Rhinolophus ferrumequinum: one gene and its partner. The protein of the gene in region 2 interacts with the protein of the main gene of each other region in a biochemical or structural test. Links are inferred from orthologs where the notes say so. Each region holds a gene or a part of one and is shown on either strand. Other genes may lie near its edges.

The links.
Region 1: the proteins of CD2 (region 2) and CD58 form a complex in vitro, tested with the Homo sapiens proteins (3 studies listed by BioGRID and IntAct, with this or other methods). The link is inferred for Rhinolophus ferrumequinum from reciprocal best matches to the Homo sapiens genes CD2 and CD58.

Annotation. Positions count from the first base shown.
Region 1 is NC_046305.1:46,744,978-46,752,846, forward strand, and holds the start of CD58 (lymphocyte function-associated antigen 3), read right to left. Parts: upstream 3,092-7,869; 5' UTR 3,011-3,091; coding exon 2,944-3,010; intron 1-2,943. UniProt on the Homo sapiens protein: Ligand of the T-lymphocyte CD2 glycoprotein.
Region 2 is NC_046305.1:46,901,474-46,908,671, reverse strand, and holds the start of CD2 (T-cell surface antigen CD2), read right to left. Parts: upstream 3,091-7,198; 5' UTR 2,994-3,090; coding exon 2,933-2,993; intron 2,777-2,932; coding exon 2,474-2,776; intron 1-2,473. UniProt on the Homo sapiens protein: CD2 interacts with lymphocyte function-associated antigen CD58 (LFA-3) and CD48/BCM1 to mediate adhesion between T-cells and other cell types. CD2 is implicated in the triggering of T-cells, the cytoplasmic domain is implicated in the signaling function.

The sequences.
Region 1 (7,869 bases), about 160 kb from region 2:
CTTTCCAGTAAAATGATCTCCTTGAAGTTCCTAAAATGCTAGAAGCCTATCGCAGGGCTTTTGAGGTCTCCTCTGCCTAGAATACTACTCCCCCACCAGCCACCTGGCCTGCTCCCTCCCTTCCTCAAGTCTACACTCAACTGTCACCCTTTTAAAGAGACCCTCCCCTGACCACACTTATAAAATGCTAACCATCAAAGAGTGGCTGAATGAAATGTCATTATCTCCATGCCACGGAGTACTATGCAGCTGTACAAAAGGACTGAGGATGATCTCTGTGAAATGGTATGGAATGATTTTCCAGACATATGGTTAATTGGCAAAAACAAGGTACAAAAGAATACACAGTGTCTGTTACCTGCTGTTTAACAAAGGGAGTTAGAAAAAAACATATGTATCTGTTCATATCTGCAAATAGAAACAAGAAAGATAAAACAGAAACAAATTATATGTTTATGGGGGGAAGGAAGAGGAGGCAATAAGATTGCTCCCAGCATATCTTTTTACATAGTTTTGATTTGAACCATGTTAATATATTACACATTTAAAAATTAAAGCCGGGGGGGGGACCCTAAAATTGAATAGAAACATAAATAAATGCAACTATACGAGTATATAAATTGATACACAACCACCCAGAAGAAAAAAAAAGATTAATCCAAGAAACTTTAAAATCCAGTATTCTGTACATATTCAGTGGGGAAGTATGGCCACTGGATGCTAAAACATCGGTGAAAGATCGTGGGGGAAGAGAACAGTCACACAATGTCAAAGTATCAATAAATCGCATGCTATTTACAAAGGGGAAAGGGATCTCTACAATGGAGAAATCTGGTAAACCTCCCTTTAACCAAATAATCCAAGGTAACATCTGTAATAATGGGACAAATGGACTGCATCTGCCCCTGACGAGGTGCACGGAGGAGACAACACACCCACGAGAAATTCCTGCCAAGAAAGTTTTAACCAGAATCTAATTACAAGGAAAACAGACAATCCAAATCAAGGGACATTTTATAAAACTACTGGTCCAGATTTTTCATAAATGGTGATGTCATAAAGCACAAAGCTCTATGAGGGAAAATGAGTCACACTGTTTCGGTGGTAATGGTTCTATGACTTACTGAAGACCAAGTGTCCTTAGAAAACATGTTGAAATATTGGGAGATAAGGCAACGCCCAAACGGTTCAGCACAAAAAAAAATCTTTTCAGTGTATGTGTGTACTGGCTCCCCCTGCCGCGACTCTAATGTAAATTTCACAAAGGCAGGGAGGAGTCTGTTCCTTGCAGCATCTCCAGGCCCTGGTACAGTGCCTGACACATACTCCATACTCGGTATTTGTTGAATGACTGGTGTTCACAATCATTCTGTGAAGTCGATACTGTTATTATCCTTTGTCTCGTGTGACTGGTGCTCTCTGTCTTCAAAGACAAAGATCCTGAGGCACACAGAAGTTAGCTCACTCCTACAAGTTATAACTCAGGTGAGGGGTGGGGCCCCGGTCTGACACCTGAGCATCTGACTCTAGAGCTGATGCTGTCAATCACAGGTAAGCAGCTTCCCTAGCGAGGCAGGCTCCGCCCCCGAGGGCTCGCCTTCTGCAGGGTGTCCCATACATCAGCCTTGTCCTTAAGGCAAGGCCTATTCAGAACAGGTGGTATTCATACTCGCTGAATGAATACATGAAGTAGGGGGCAGAGACCTCCCTGAGGAAACTGTTCAGAGAATCTTGTGGAGGAGGTGGGACTTGATGGGTAAATTGGGTTTTCAGTGGAAGACAGACCACAGGTTCAGGGAGCAGTGACCAAAGGTGCATTCTGGGGCCAAGGAGAGACCAGCTCATCTGGAAGAGGAGAGTCACCCCACCCAGTCATGCGCTGTGTATGTTGCTCCCTCTTTCCCATAGCCACCGGCATATGAAACCCACAAGCCCTCTGGGCCCTTAATGGTCTCTGCCCTGGCCTCCCTGTCTCCAATTCCTCTGGACTGCAATCCTTCCTCTTTGGTGCTGACAGATTATTCTTCCAAAGTGCATGGTTCTGATGCTGTCAGGCCCAGAAAGAGTTAGTTCTCCTTTGCCTGCAGAAGATCATCCAAAGTCCCAAAAGGGACAATCAGGGCTCCACCATGCAGCCTCAAGGTCCCGTGGGCACACCGACTCCGCATTGCCCAAGCTCACCCTGTTCACTCTGCTCCCCTGTCTTCTCTTGGAATCTTGTCCCCCATCGTGGCATGTCCACATCCCACCTGTCCTGAGGCCAGGTTCAAATACCCTCCCTTCCTTGAAATCTTTGCTTCACAAAAGATATTTGATTTCTCCCCTCTGCACACCCATAACACTTTATGTTTAACCTCTCTTGACATTTACTTCTGTGCCTTGTAACGTAGGTTCTTTGAGCTTATCTCAGCTTTCCTGTCACGCTGGCTGGCGGGCACCGACTCACCGCAGTCAAGCGCGTCGGACCCGCTACCCAGACCCCGTTCCGGAAAAGTTCACAGGTGGGGCAAGCAGTTCAAGTTCTCGGCGAAGGTACCTCGCCAGTAACTCAACAGCCACTAGACTCAGAAAAAAAGGCACATCCTTTCGGAGGAACACTGGGTGGAGTCGGGGCCGTGGGGTCACCAGAGACAGGAAACAGTGCGTGGGGGTGAAACGAGGCGGAATCCCGCCCCTCTTGAATCCAACGCGAGTCAAGTGCCTACCTTTCAAGTTTCTTCCTGCGCACCCAAGGGGACTTGCTGGTGAAATGACAACTCTCCTGACAAGGTCCCTCTGGCTGCGTTTCTCCGCGTCCCGTCCCCGTCCCATCCTGAACCCAACTTCCAGTCGCCTCGCCCCACCCCACCCCACCCCGTCCACCCGGCTCCGGACGCGTGGGGCTACGGACACCCCCGGCGCTGCCCAGTCCCTGCGGGGGCTCCGGGGAAAGCCGCCACTCACCGAACGGGAGCAAGCAGACCAGGCCGAGGACCACCAGGGCCCATCGCTCCGCGCTCCCCGAGACCATAGTTCTCACCGGCCTCCGCGCCTAGGCGCCAGCGAGTTGTGTGCCAGAGCCAGGCGCCACCGCTGTACCCCGGAAGGTCCCGCCCCGCTGGTCCCGCCCAGCCCAAGTCCTGTCGTCAGGGATCCGAAGCACTTCCTTTTTCCCCCGCGTGGGAGGCGGGGTGCAGTCTCACCACCCCTGTGAGCGCTCCCGGAGCGGGTGCAATCCCGCCCGTCCTCGCACTTTCCCGAGGGAGCCTCTTGGCGCGATCCTGCGCCGGGGGGGGGGGGGGGGGGGGGGGGGGGGGGGGGGGGGGGGGGGCCCTTTCCTCTATATTTGGAATGCCCTCTAGTCTCCCCAGTGGGTCCCCTTGTTGTCCCCCAGCCCCCACCGCCACGCCCCCATCGCCAACACCCTGTATGCTTTGCGGAATTTTCCCTTAAAAGTGGCTTGCGTTTTAAAAAGCAGGCTGTCATGCTGGGGGGGGGGGGGGGTCGCTGGTCCCACTCCCAACATAAGAACGCAGGATATGGCGAGGCCAAAAGGGAACACCAATGGAGCCACAGACAGGGGGTTCATACCACTATATTCTCACAGACGCCTGGGTTGCAGATATAGGAAGCTGGAGCCACATGATCTGCAATCTGCCCACTCGTTTGCTAACCACACCTGCTAGCTGCAATCCGTGCTTCTCTGCCAACCAACAACCTTGCTGGTCGCACTCTGCCCTTGCTAATTTAGCCACAGCAGTTATGTTAGTGGCCAATGGTTAACTGGTTATAGCTGACGGCCATCTACTACCCGAGCCAGCCCCTTTGCACATGAGGTGTGGAGAGCCTAGAAACTGCTTTCTGGGACTCGGTCCCCACACAGGTTTGTGTTCGTTCCTTCCGCACCTCCAGCTCATCTCTTTGGCATTTGGAGAGTGGTTGTCACTCCCGCAAAGCGGCGCCGCACTCGGCTAGCCCCTGACATGACAGAACTCTGCCGAAGGACAGAGAGGCTCCGAAGCACTTTATTCCTTCAGTGCTTTGTAGCAGCAGCAGCAGCAGAAGCGTGAAGCTTGTTTCTCTGCCAGTTACTCAGCTATGGGGACTCGGGACAAGACAGCCTCTTTAAGCCACTCTTTCCTCAAATATTAAAAAAGGAAACAGGGAATGTTAGACGACTCCTAGAATGTGTGTGGTGACTGGTGCAGCCCCTCAAATACCAGTCTTTCCTTCCTCATTTACGTGCATGCCACCTTTGCTTCAGCCTGACCTCCACTCCCAGCACTGCCTTCCCCAGAGCTGGAATTTCCAGGCTTTGGTTTGTCCCTTCTCGATTTCCCTCTTTGTTTTCCTCTTCCTCTGGAGGATGGACTTTCCCTCAGGAGGAGGAGTCAGGTCTGTTCACGCCCTCGCTGTGGAGCCTGCCAAAATCACCCCTAACTGCACCAGGCCCTTGGAACTCTCCATCCTATGGATTAGTTTTCTCCATTGGCTTCCCCTCCCTTCAAATCCGTCTGATTCCATATCAGATGACTCGCAGAACCAGCCCGTTACATCAGCCTCCCTAGTCGCCCCCTTTCTTTCAGGCAGAAGCACTGGACTTGCCCCTGCACAGCTGTAGCGTTAAGGGAACTCTTTCCTGCCAGGAACAGGACCCCGGCTATCCTAACAAACACCAACATATTGCCAAGTGTGCAACTGAGTGGAAATGTTTGAGGATTGCTGTCATCACCGTCGTCCTCAGGTGGGGACCCCAAAACCACTCAAGACACTTGGACTAGACGGTAAGAATTGGTGGGTTGTTTCTTAAATTAGCCATAAAATCTTACAAGGTATCTCGAGCAGTGACATTTCAGGTCTGTTCACACCAATGGACTGTATCATGAAGCCTGACACTTGAAGATATTCCCTACCCGTTTGTAGCTATGGAGAACGTGAGGCAGGTGCAGTGTGTAGCACAAAATGTGAGAAAATCAAGTGTCTCCTCTGCCCTGCGCTGGTAAGAACTCTGGCCAACTTGGAAAGGTAGGATGGGGTCACACCTCGAGACACTGGGGAGCCCCTGAAAGTTTTTGAGCTAGGAAGTCACGTAACAGCAAACATCTGTTGAGCACTTACGATGAGCCAGGTCCTGTGTTGTGTATTCCCTGGATTAATTTAATCTTATTGCTGTCCCTATTTTTACAGCTGAGGCAACTGAGGATCAGAGAAGGTAAGTGACTTGCCCAAGGACACACAGTATGGGGTAGAACTAGGAGTCCCACGGAAGCTAAGTCCCACGTGCCACTCTTACCCTTCCATACAGGAGCAGGATGCACCTTTGGGGTGGGCACTCAGGCTGCTGTTTGGCCTGGCCAGCAGGAGCAGCCAACACCCTCTACGGCAGGGCTGAGGAAAGGACTACCCAGTCATGTGGGGCTGGGAGGTAACCCCCAGGTCATGGTCTCCAGGCATCTGGTGAGGAATGATTCATTAGGTCGTCATTCATTAGGTTGTTGGACGCTCCTCTGACCAACAGGAAGGACAGCTCTTTCATTAAGAGAGGGGCTGTGCTCCCACCAAGCACTTTTAGAAGCACTTATATGCCTGGTCCAGCAGACTTCATGAATCAAAAGTGACTCTGAAAGGCTGGACCTGCAGTGCCTCAGGCTGGGGTCCAAAAAGGCTCTATTTCATATACTGCAGACTTGCCACCGAAAAGAGGGCTGAATGTATGTTTCATCCCGTGACCAGTCTTGAGAGGTCCAGTTTCATCTGCTTGTCACTGTAGATAATGATGGACTAAGAGGTAAGAAAGGAGGACTCCTTTAGCCGGCTCTTATGGCACGGGGTTGCTGCTCCTGCTAGCATGTCCCTCCTGATACTCTGGCTCTACTTCTTCCCAGTCTTGGAACTACCCCCAGGAAGCTTCTGTATACACATCCTAGAATTTAAAGAGGAAAACACTGCTCCTGATCCTGCAGAAATGAGAATCGTTCTTGCCTCTTGCAGAAGTGTGCATTCACTTCATTTATATAAACACGGGGCAGATTTGCACCAGGGGCGTCAAGGGGTATTCTCATTTTGTAACTCTGTTTTCCTTTCTCAAATGGTCCCTGGCAGAAAGAGAACATTTGGGAAAAATGAAGCAAAAATATCTCATGAGACTTAACATGGAACCAACCATTGTGCGTACCCAATGGAAAAACAGGCCCATTTCAACACTGGCCAAGCAAGCAGCTGTGAGAAGTTGATAAGGGTGCAGCAAATGAGGATGTAGAACAGAGGAAACCACACATTCAAGCCTTTGAAAGGCTTACATTTTAAAAGGAAGAAAAAGAAAAGGAGGCACCTCCCTCTGCTTATTACCCTCTATCCAGTTCCTTTTGCATGTTCTTCAGTGAATTTTAAAGAATCACAGAGAGGTTCTGACTGTGTGTCACCATGATGGCTTTAATCTTTCTGTCATTCTCACCTTGCAGACGCGGTGAACTCCTCCCACACACCGCAGCCTCCAAGCTGTGCAGGGAACAGAGACGGGTGAGCTGTGCATCCTCACCAAACAGGAATGCACAGCTCCTGCTCCTTCCTCCATTCCTGGAAAATGCTGGCTGAATATTTCACGGTATAGTTTGAGGAAGATGGTGGGCTCTGGCTGCAGAGGCCCTCGACGGCCAAGGAGAAGGCTGGCCCATGTTCCCGATCTCCTTCTCCGTCAGTCTCCTCACCCCATTCTGCCCACCCGTCTTTCCTCCGCAAAAAGAACAGGGTATAAACTCTACATTCTGCACCCGCCTAGCAGGCCTCCAGGTGCTTTGTGTGTTGCACAACTGAAGGGGCAGTATAGCCCTGCCTGTCAGGATACACGTGTGTCTTTATTGTGATACATGTCAGCAGATGACAGCAGGGTGTCTTGAGAAAAGAGTGTTTTGTTATCATTTGTACAAAGCCACCACTTAGGCTGGGGGTGGGGCATGATGATAAAGGCTGCAATCCATGAACCTTGAGCCTAGCAGGTCAACGTCAGGGGCAGGACTCACTCTAGACCTTCAGGACACAGGTTGATGGAGGACAGTCGCTGCTGATTACGTGAGGAGAAAGGACAGTGGACTCCAGGAAATATAAACAGCCGTATTTTCAACATAATTTACTACAGGTGTCTGAAGTGTATATAAAACATTTTAGTGCAACATCTTACAAATCGTTTTCCTTAAAAAAAAAAAAAAACAAGCGAAAAAATCAACAGCTCTCTACACCATGCACGGGTAGTTTTCTTATCCCACCTCTTTTTTTCTTCAACAATTAACGCAGAGAAACCACTGTTTGACAAGAATATGAAAACTTGCTACAGAAACACCCTGGTGAGAGAGGGTGCGGTCATATCCATATCCTGGGATGGGCCTAGCCCACTGCAGGTTTCATGAATGCAATATCGTTGATAAGAAAAGTCTGTCTGTCCTGGTCGGAGGACTGAAGGCTCCAGTCCGCTATGTGCAATGAGGTCTCCCAGCCACTGGAGGGCACCATTACCACTCATCTGACACCACATTTCCATAGAAATGGCCAAAGAAAGAAGGTCCTGGGGATTTTCATAGAAAGCTAGAAAAACTCACCCTTTGACTGTATTCCCCAGCCCGTTAGAAAATACACAGAAAAAAAAAACACAATTATTAAAATACTGGCTTCGGGTTTTTTTTTTTCCTTTCAAATTTCCCACAACTGCTTCACCTATTTAATAATGTGCAGAACACACTTTTCTACAGCTGTGAACCAATTCAAACTCAAATCTTAGGTACAGGGCCCAGTCCCAGACAGCCCTCTGGCGTCTTTCCATTCAGAGAGAGGAACAGTAAGCTATCTTCCCTCACTGACTCAGTCCATTTAGGGGTCACCAATTTCCCACTGAAAGCT
Region 2 (7,198 bases):
TTTCCCTTAAGAATCTGAATACATATACATCTCCACCATCTTTTTCAAAGATGTGTCCTTCGTTTAATGAGTAAGTTTCTAACTGCTGGGGGCTTTTAAATCCTTTCCAGCATTTCACTAATATAAACCACACAGAGGTGAGCAGACTCTCGAAGCCATTTCTTTGTGCACATCCTCTCTGTGAGACAGCTTCCTAGAAGGGGAACGGCCAGGTCAAGCTGGGGCAGAGCTCATCGATGAGACCTCCTCAATTCGAGGTTGCAAGGATTCACTCCTTCTCCACTAACATCTGCTTTTAAGGAGCTTTCCACTGCCTTTTCAGCCAGCAGCTGCAGCCCACTCATTAATGAGACGTGGGTGCAAGGCTGCAGCCCGCAGAAGCGTAGAGAAACCATGAGACAGAGAAGGGCACTGAGCAAACAGGCCTTGTGTCCCAGGCACTGCAGGGTGCCTTTGCTTGTCTCACTGAATACTCCATGCAAGTATTAGTATGAAAATCAGACTCAGAGCAGCTTTACCCAATGCCATGCGGAAAGTAATGGTGACCAGACCACAAAACTGAGTTAAGATGCTGGGTGACATTTACACCCCCTCCCCCCCCCTGCCCCCCCCCCCCACATACACACAGAGCAAGGTGGCTGTTGTGTCATGGAAAGATCTCTGTTTTTTGGCCAGGGAGTGCGGGGTTTATTTTTAGGGGACTCAACGTGTTCTAAAATTGAGTGTGGTGACGGTTGCACAACTCTGTGAATATACTAAAAGCCATCGAATTGTTCACTTTAAATGGGTGCATTTTGTGGCATGTGAATTGTATCCCAATTACGTTTTTTTGGGGAAGAACACTGTCACCATCCTTGTTAAAAGAAGCCCTGGGTTTGGAGCTTGACTTTGCACCCGTCAACCTGTGAGACTGTGGACAAGTCTCACTTCTGGGTCCTTATAGAAAAGAAACGGCTAACAGCTACCGCTCAGGCTTGTTGGGAGCCTTAGCTGAGATCATGGAGGCAAAGCCCCTGACACCCAGCTGGTAGCCACGATTATCGCTGCAATACTAAAGTAGAAATGAATGTGAGGTTCACGTTCAAAGCACAGCACTAGAGCCCATGCTGGCAGGAGTCCTGAGATCTGGGGCTCCCTGGGCCCGTAAACAGAGGCCCCTTCTGGCTCCATTCTCAGCCCCACCCCATTTCTGGAATGTACTCTCCATGCAAGGTTGAGAACTAGGGTGTGGACAGTTGTCCTTTACAGTGAGCTGACAACGTCTGGGATTGTTGGCGAGGAAAACCTGCCAGGTCCATGTGCTGAGAACAGGGCTGGAGGGTGACCATAGGTCTGTCGAAGGAGGGGGCCCTGCTGCTGGTAGCATTTCCTGTGTGAAGCATAGATGTTTGTTTGCTCACTGAATCGCTGGCTTGTGCTAACATTGGGGTTCCTGCCTTCCTCTCCAAGCCAAGTGCTGTTTCCTCTTCTCATTTCTGATCACCTCCTACCAAGTGGCCCCTGAGCTTTGAACTTCCATGTCATTTACATTCCACTTTCTCTTCCCTCTCTCCACACCCAAGCCATCCTGCCCATCCTTTCTCCACCTAGGACGCTTAGTAGGCTCACTCTTCCTCATTTTAGGCACCCGTTAGTCTAGCCCAGTGGTTATCAGACTTGGCTGCTCTTTAGAGTCTTTAGACTCTACTGATGCCCAGGCCCGACACTAGAAAATTCTGACTTAATTGGTCTGGGATGGAATCTGGGCACTGATAACTTTTAATAGCATCTCAGTTGATTATAACGTGCAACCAGGACTAAGAATCACAAACCAGCCCCTCTCTACTGCGCTCAGATTGTAGTGACAGCTTCTTGGCTAGTTTTCTTGCCTCTGTCTGCAGTAGGCACCCCTGCTGTCTTGGCACAAGCACAGACATACGAAGTAAGCCACACCTTGGGTCTTCTCTACAGAGATCAGCAAAAACATCTGCTCCCTCGGATCACTCTGATATGGCGCAGATCAGAAACAAGTGCTGTGCATCTTTACATTCATTATTTTCAGCCCTTGCCTGCCATGTAACTATTTCTCCAGGCCATCCTGGCTTGAAATTGTCGCTCTAGTTGGAAGATACACTGCTCTTCCGTCAGCCTCACTTTCCCCGCTCTACACCTAGCTTGCCCCTTCATCATCAACCTGGGATGCCCACCTTTTTCTTCTGCCCACCTTGTGGTTAATGCCCATATTCCAATAACTACTAAAGAGACAATTTTAGGCAGGTAGACTTGAAGTTCTGTCAGCTGTGGATTTCCACGTGTGGATTTCACCTCTCCCACAAGATGGGAGCCTCTACTGAGGTAAGAGGCATGCATTAGATTACCTTTGGGGCTCCCCCAAGGCCAAGGTCATGCCTGGGCACATTCCATAAATGCCATTCCCCAACTTGCTAAATAGCACCCATATTGAGATGGAAGAATGTAAGGAACAAAGACTTACCTAGAATCCTTAAATCAAATTGTTTTCCAAGAATGTGTTTTCCATACCAATCATATACTTCTGCCTTGTAAGTACCGCTGTCATTTCTCTCCAGACGTTTAATTTTCAGAGTTCCGTTTTTAAATATGTGGTATTTTTCCTCTCGCTGGTAAGTTTTCTTCTTGACTGAGTATTGTGCAACCTTGGTTGAATTTTTTCCCCATTTTATATCATCTACAGTATCATTCATTTGAAACTCAGGAATGTTCAGGTTGATGTCATGACCCAGCTTACCCAGGACTATAATGTCTGTAGGAGCTGCACCTATAAAAAGCAAGACAGTTACTGAGGTCTTGAAACTCACTGCCAGGGAAAGCTGACCTGTGACCTCTTTGGCCCAGCTCAGAGTCTCCAAAGAAGCTTCTAATGGAGACCATGGAGACCCACACACCAACGTACCTGACCCACACACCAACGTACCTTTGGTAAAACAGATGAAAATCAGAAGGAAGTTGGCTAAGATTTGACATGCGAAGCTCATCTTTGGGGTTAGTTTCCTTGTTGTGATTCTGAGCTCTTATAAAAGGAGGAACTAAAGTAAAACTGGTAGAATCCACCCCTGGGAGCTTAACCACGTGTCTCTGTTTTTTGCTTCTTTTATAGTAGCATAAAAAGTACAAATATGCGCGTGCGCGCGTGCACACACACACACACACACACACACACTCACTCACGCAGCAAACCAACCCTGCTGATAAGCTCCTTTGTCAAAGTGGGTGTACTCATGAGTGTGTTTTCCTATCGCATTTAAATTCTCACAACAATCTTGGGTGGGTTTCATTACCCCCATTGAAGAGACAGAAACTGAGAGGCTAAACAAATCACTTAAGATCACCCTTTAGTTATAAAGGAGGCCAATTCAACTGTACAACCCATCTTCTATCCATTCAGCTATAAAGCCTCTAACAAAACCACATCGAAATAGAGGTAAATTTTCATAAATGAATAGCAGAATACAACATTTATTCTATGATTATACATATTGGAAAATAAATGCATATGAAATAATTAGAAAAGCAGATTTTTTTTCTCTTCCTCAAAAGGTGTTTTTATTTAAAGTTCTAAACTTGTTTTGTGATAAAAAAGAAACAAATATAAAGTGAGTCTCAGCTGTAAATGCTTGAACTACCCAAATCTTACATTTAGTGTTAACGACTCTATTGACATTCACAGTTAGATAAATTAAAAAAAAAACACAAAACAAACTTGTTGCAAAACAAACGAAAGTGCAGAGAGACTATGAAATACTATTAAACAACGAAAACAAATGATTCAAAAAACATTTGAGATGGTTAACACTATAGATGATTAAAGAAAAGAACAGATACGGAGAAAAAGAAAATTGAGAGAGGAATGCGAAAGAGAAAGAAAAAAGAAATTTGTGATACGGGAAAAGAAAGTGATACATTGATGCATACACACAGAAAAGATCTACTCACAGAAAAAAATTACACCCAGAGACAGTTTTCCAAAACAAATTTCCAGTTTTATAATTCTTTAGAATAGAGGCAATAAAAATCTTAAAAATTGTGCTTGTTTTCTGTTTCAACCTTAGGTACAAATACCAATATGATCTCTCAAAAAGTTGCCCCGGAATGAAATTAAGTCAAGTAAAGGAAGGCCTAATAAATATTTACCTCATGATTATTACAAATCCCTAACTTACATCATCCACAAAAACAAACTACAATTGGATTAAATTTTTAAATGTTAAAAACCTATAACAGTGTTAAAAAACATAGACATTTTCATATCTTTGAGTATGGAAGGCATACCGACATATGCTATATGATCCAAAAGTGATAAAGAAAAGATGGATATAATTGACTGCATAAAAATGTAACATTTATGTATAGGCAAAGAGATAGTGAACAAAATGAAAAGACATGACAGGAAATAGTCATATATACGAAAAATTACCAATATCCAAGATACATAAATTATTCCTATCAATCAATAAGAAAAAGAAAACTCAGTTTTTAAATTGGGCAAAAAATATAAATGAGCTGTTTATAGAAGAAATGTCAATAAACATATGAGAAGACGTCTAATGTCACCAAAAAGAAAAAGGAAAAAAAAAAATATGTATATATCATAGCCACAAAATACCATTTTCGCCATCAGATTGGCAGAATTAGAAAAAATAATTTACATTATTGACAAGAATATAGGAGAAATAGGGCCCTTCATACAATACTGGAGGGGTTGTGAATCCATATGTCCTGGGGGGTGAAATTTGACAATTTCCACCAAACTTGAAAATACATATATTTTTTGACTTTACACATTTAATTCGAGAAATCTAGTGTACACAAATATTTGCCTATATGTGCAAAACTTCTGTTCAAGGATGTTTGCTGTAGCATTTTTTTGTAATAAAAAAATTTGCAAACAACTATAATTATGGTATATTCATATCAAGAAATATTGTATAACAGTTAAAACAGAATAAAGTGGACCTAAGAGTAAGAATATACTACATTATATTGTATTAGGTTATATTATATTGTATTATTATTATATTATAATTAGTATATGCATGGAGAAAAGTCTGGAAGGATTCATGCTGAACTTTTGTCAGTGTTTACCTTTCAGGACTTAGATTTTGAGGAGGCTGAAAAGAAACTCGCTTTTTACTTCATCGATGTCTGTGAAGTCAGAAATTTTGGTAACGAGCGCTTATCATTTTTATAATGAAAAGTTTTTTTTAAAATAGAGGACACTTAAGTCACACATGTTTTATCAAAAGTAAATGCAGATCCTAAGAAACCATGAGTATCTCGTGTCTCTGCTTGTGAGTGGCTAACCCATTAGCCAGCTGTCCAGCCTTTCACGGCCTGGTCCAGACGATGGGATAATGGTCATCATAAAACCTGCCTCAACTTTTGAGAAAAGTTGCCTCCTCTTCCTCCCACTTTCTTGATAGTTTTTCTTACATTCTCATGGAGCAAGTGGAGAGAAGCTTTCTGTTCTTCCTTTTGAAACATTAATTCTGCTCCTCTCACATCTCATTCAATTTTGAGTAATGAGCATGGCTTCCAGAACAAAAACTGTGAAAACGAAAGGGATCAATAGATCTTACATGGAACATTTAAAACTTTTGTACGTAAAAAGCCATAAAAAAAAATTTTAAAAGACACAGTACTAAAAGGGGGAAATTATTTGCAAGATATATGACAAAGGTTATTACCGTTGAAATTAAAATTTTCTTGTAAAACGTGGAAAGAACAGACACCTTGATATTAAAATAGGTCAAGGTCGTACATGGGACAATTCACAAAAGAAGAAATAAAATTGAACAACAAGCATATGAAAATGTCGATTTATTAATACGGAAAATGTAAACTTTAATTTAGATGCATTTTTTCATCTTTCATTTTAACAATGAAAATATATTGTGTCAATGATGGTGAAAACACATTCTTGTACGTGGTCAGTAGAAATGCACATAGGTCTAGAGTTTCTGGTGGACAGTTTGTCAGTGTGAATCACAAGCATCAAAAATATTTCTATTTTGACCTAACAAGTTCAAAATAACTATTTTATCCTATGGAAATAATGAAGGACTTGTAAGACTTGGCTAGATGTTTATATATCTGTAGTCTTTTTTATAAGTCAAAACTGGAAACAATTTAAATGTCCAAGAGAAGGAAATTGGTTAAATAAACCGTGATATGACCAACTGAATATGGGGGAAAAAGGTCACGACAAACAATATAATCCCATTTTTGTTTTCTCCAAAAGTGTGTGTCTTTTGGAAGGAAATCCACCAGGGTGTTGGCCCTGGGTGGTGGGATAACGGCTATCATTCTGTTGTATTTGGTTGTTGTCGCTATTCTAATATTTCTAAAGTGAACATATATTGCTTTCCAAGTGATTTCTTGTTAATGCTAAGTAAGCCTCCCACTTAGGCAAAAGCGCCCAGTACTGAGTGTGGGTACAGTCCCTGCCTCTGTGTATGAGGTTCTGGGAAAATCCATCGATGACTCATTCCAGTCTCTCCCTCACCGAACTCACTGCAGGTGAGGGGTTGTCTCTTGCTCTATCTTCTCTGATTCTTTTTCTTACCCAAACTAGCCCTCCTAAGGAAACAGACTAAAGGGAAGACAGTAAGAAGCAGATAGAGGAAGACAGCATGCTCAGAGGTCTTGCTTTAGGGACAAATGCCCATCCCTGACTAGTGACATTCCTCCGGTGCTGACCCCCACCTCCCTCTATCTGTATCGAGATAAAGAGCCAGCAAGAACCAGGTCGCGCTACCACTGTGGCAGTTCACACCCAACGGAACGTCTTGTGTTGTTAGATTTGTAGAGCCGAAAGACATTCAGAAAGGAATCAGGTCTCCTCCCCACATGTCAGTTGAGCATCCCGAGCCCAGGGAGCTTCGTCCATATCAGCGGCCTCACCTCCGGCCCCTGGGACCTGTGCTCCAAACTCTGGGGCACCGTCTGCTTTCTGCTGAGACCTCACGGTCATCTTGCCTCGCACACCACACAGGCCCCCCCAGTTCAGGAATCAAGTCCACCCTCACCCTTCTACATGACATCTGTTTCCTCTCTTTGGTGCCTTGTTACATCTTCCCATAAATTCAGGTGAGAAGCACGAGAAAGGAGGCCAGCGTGTAGCATTTACACTGAAAACTGACTATGCCGTGGCTTCAGAGAAGCTCAGAAAGACCACACCGTG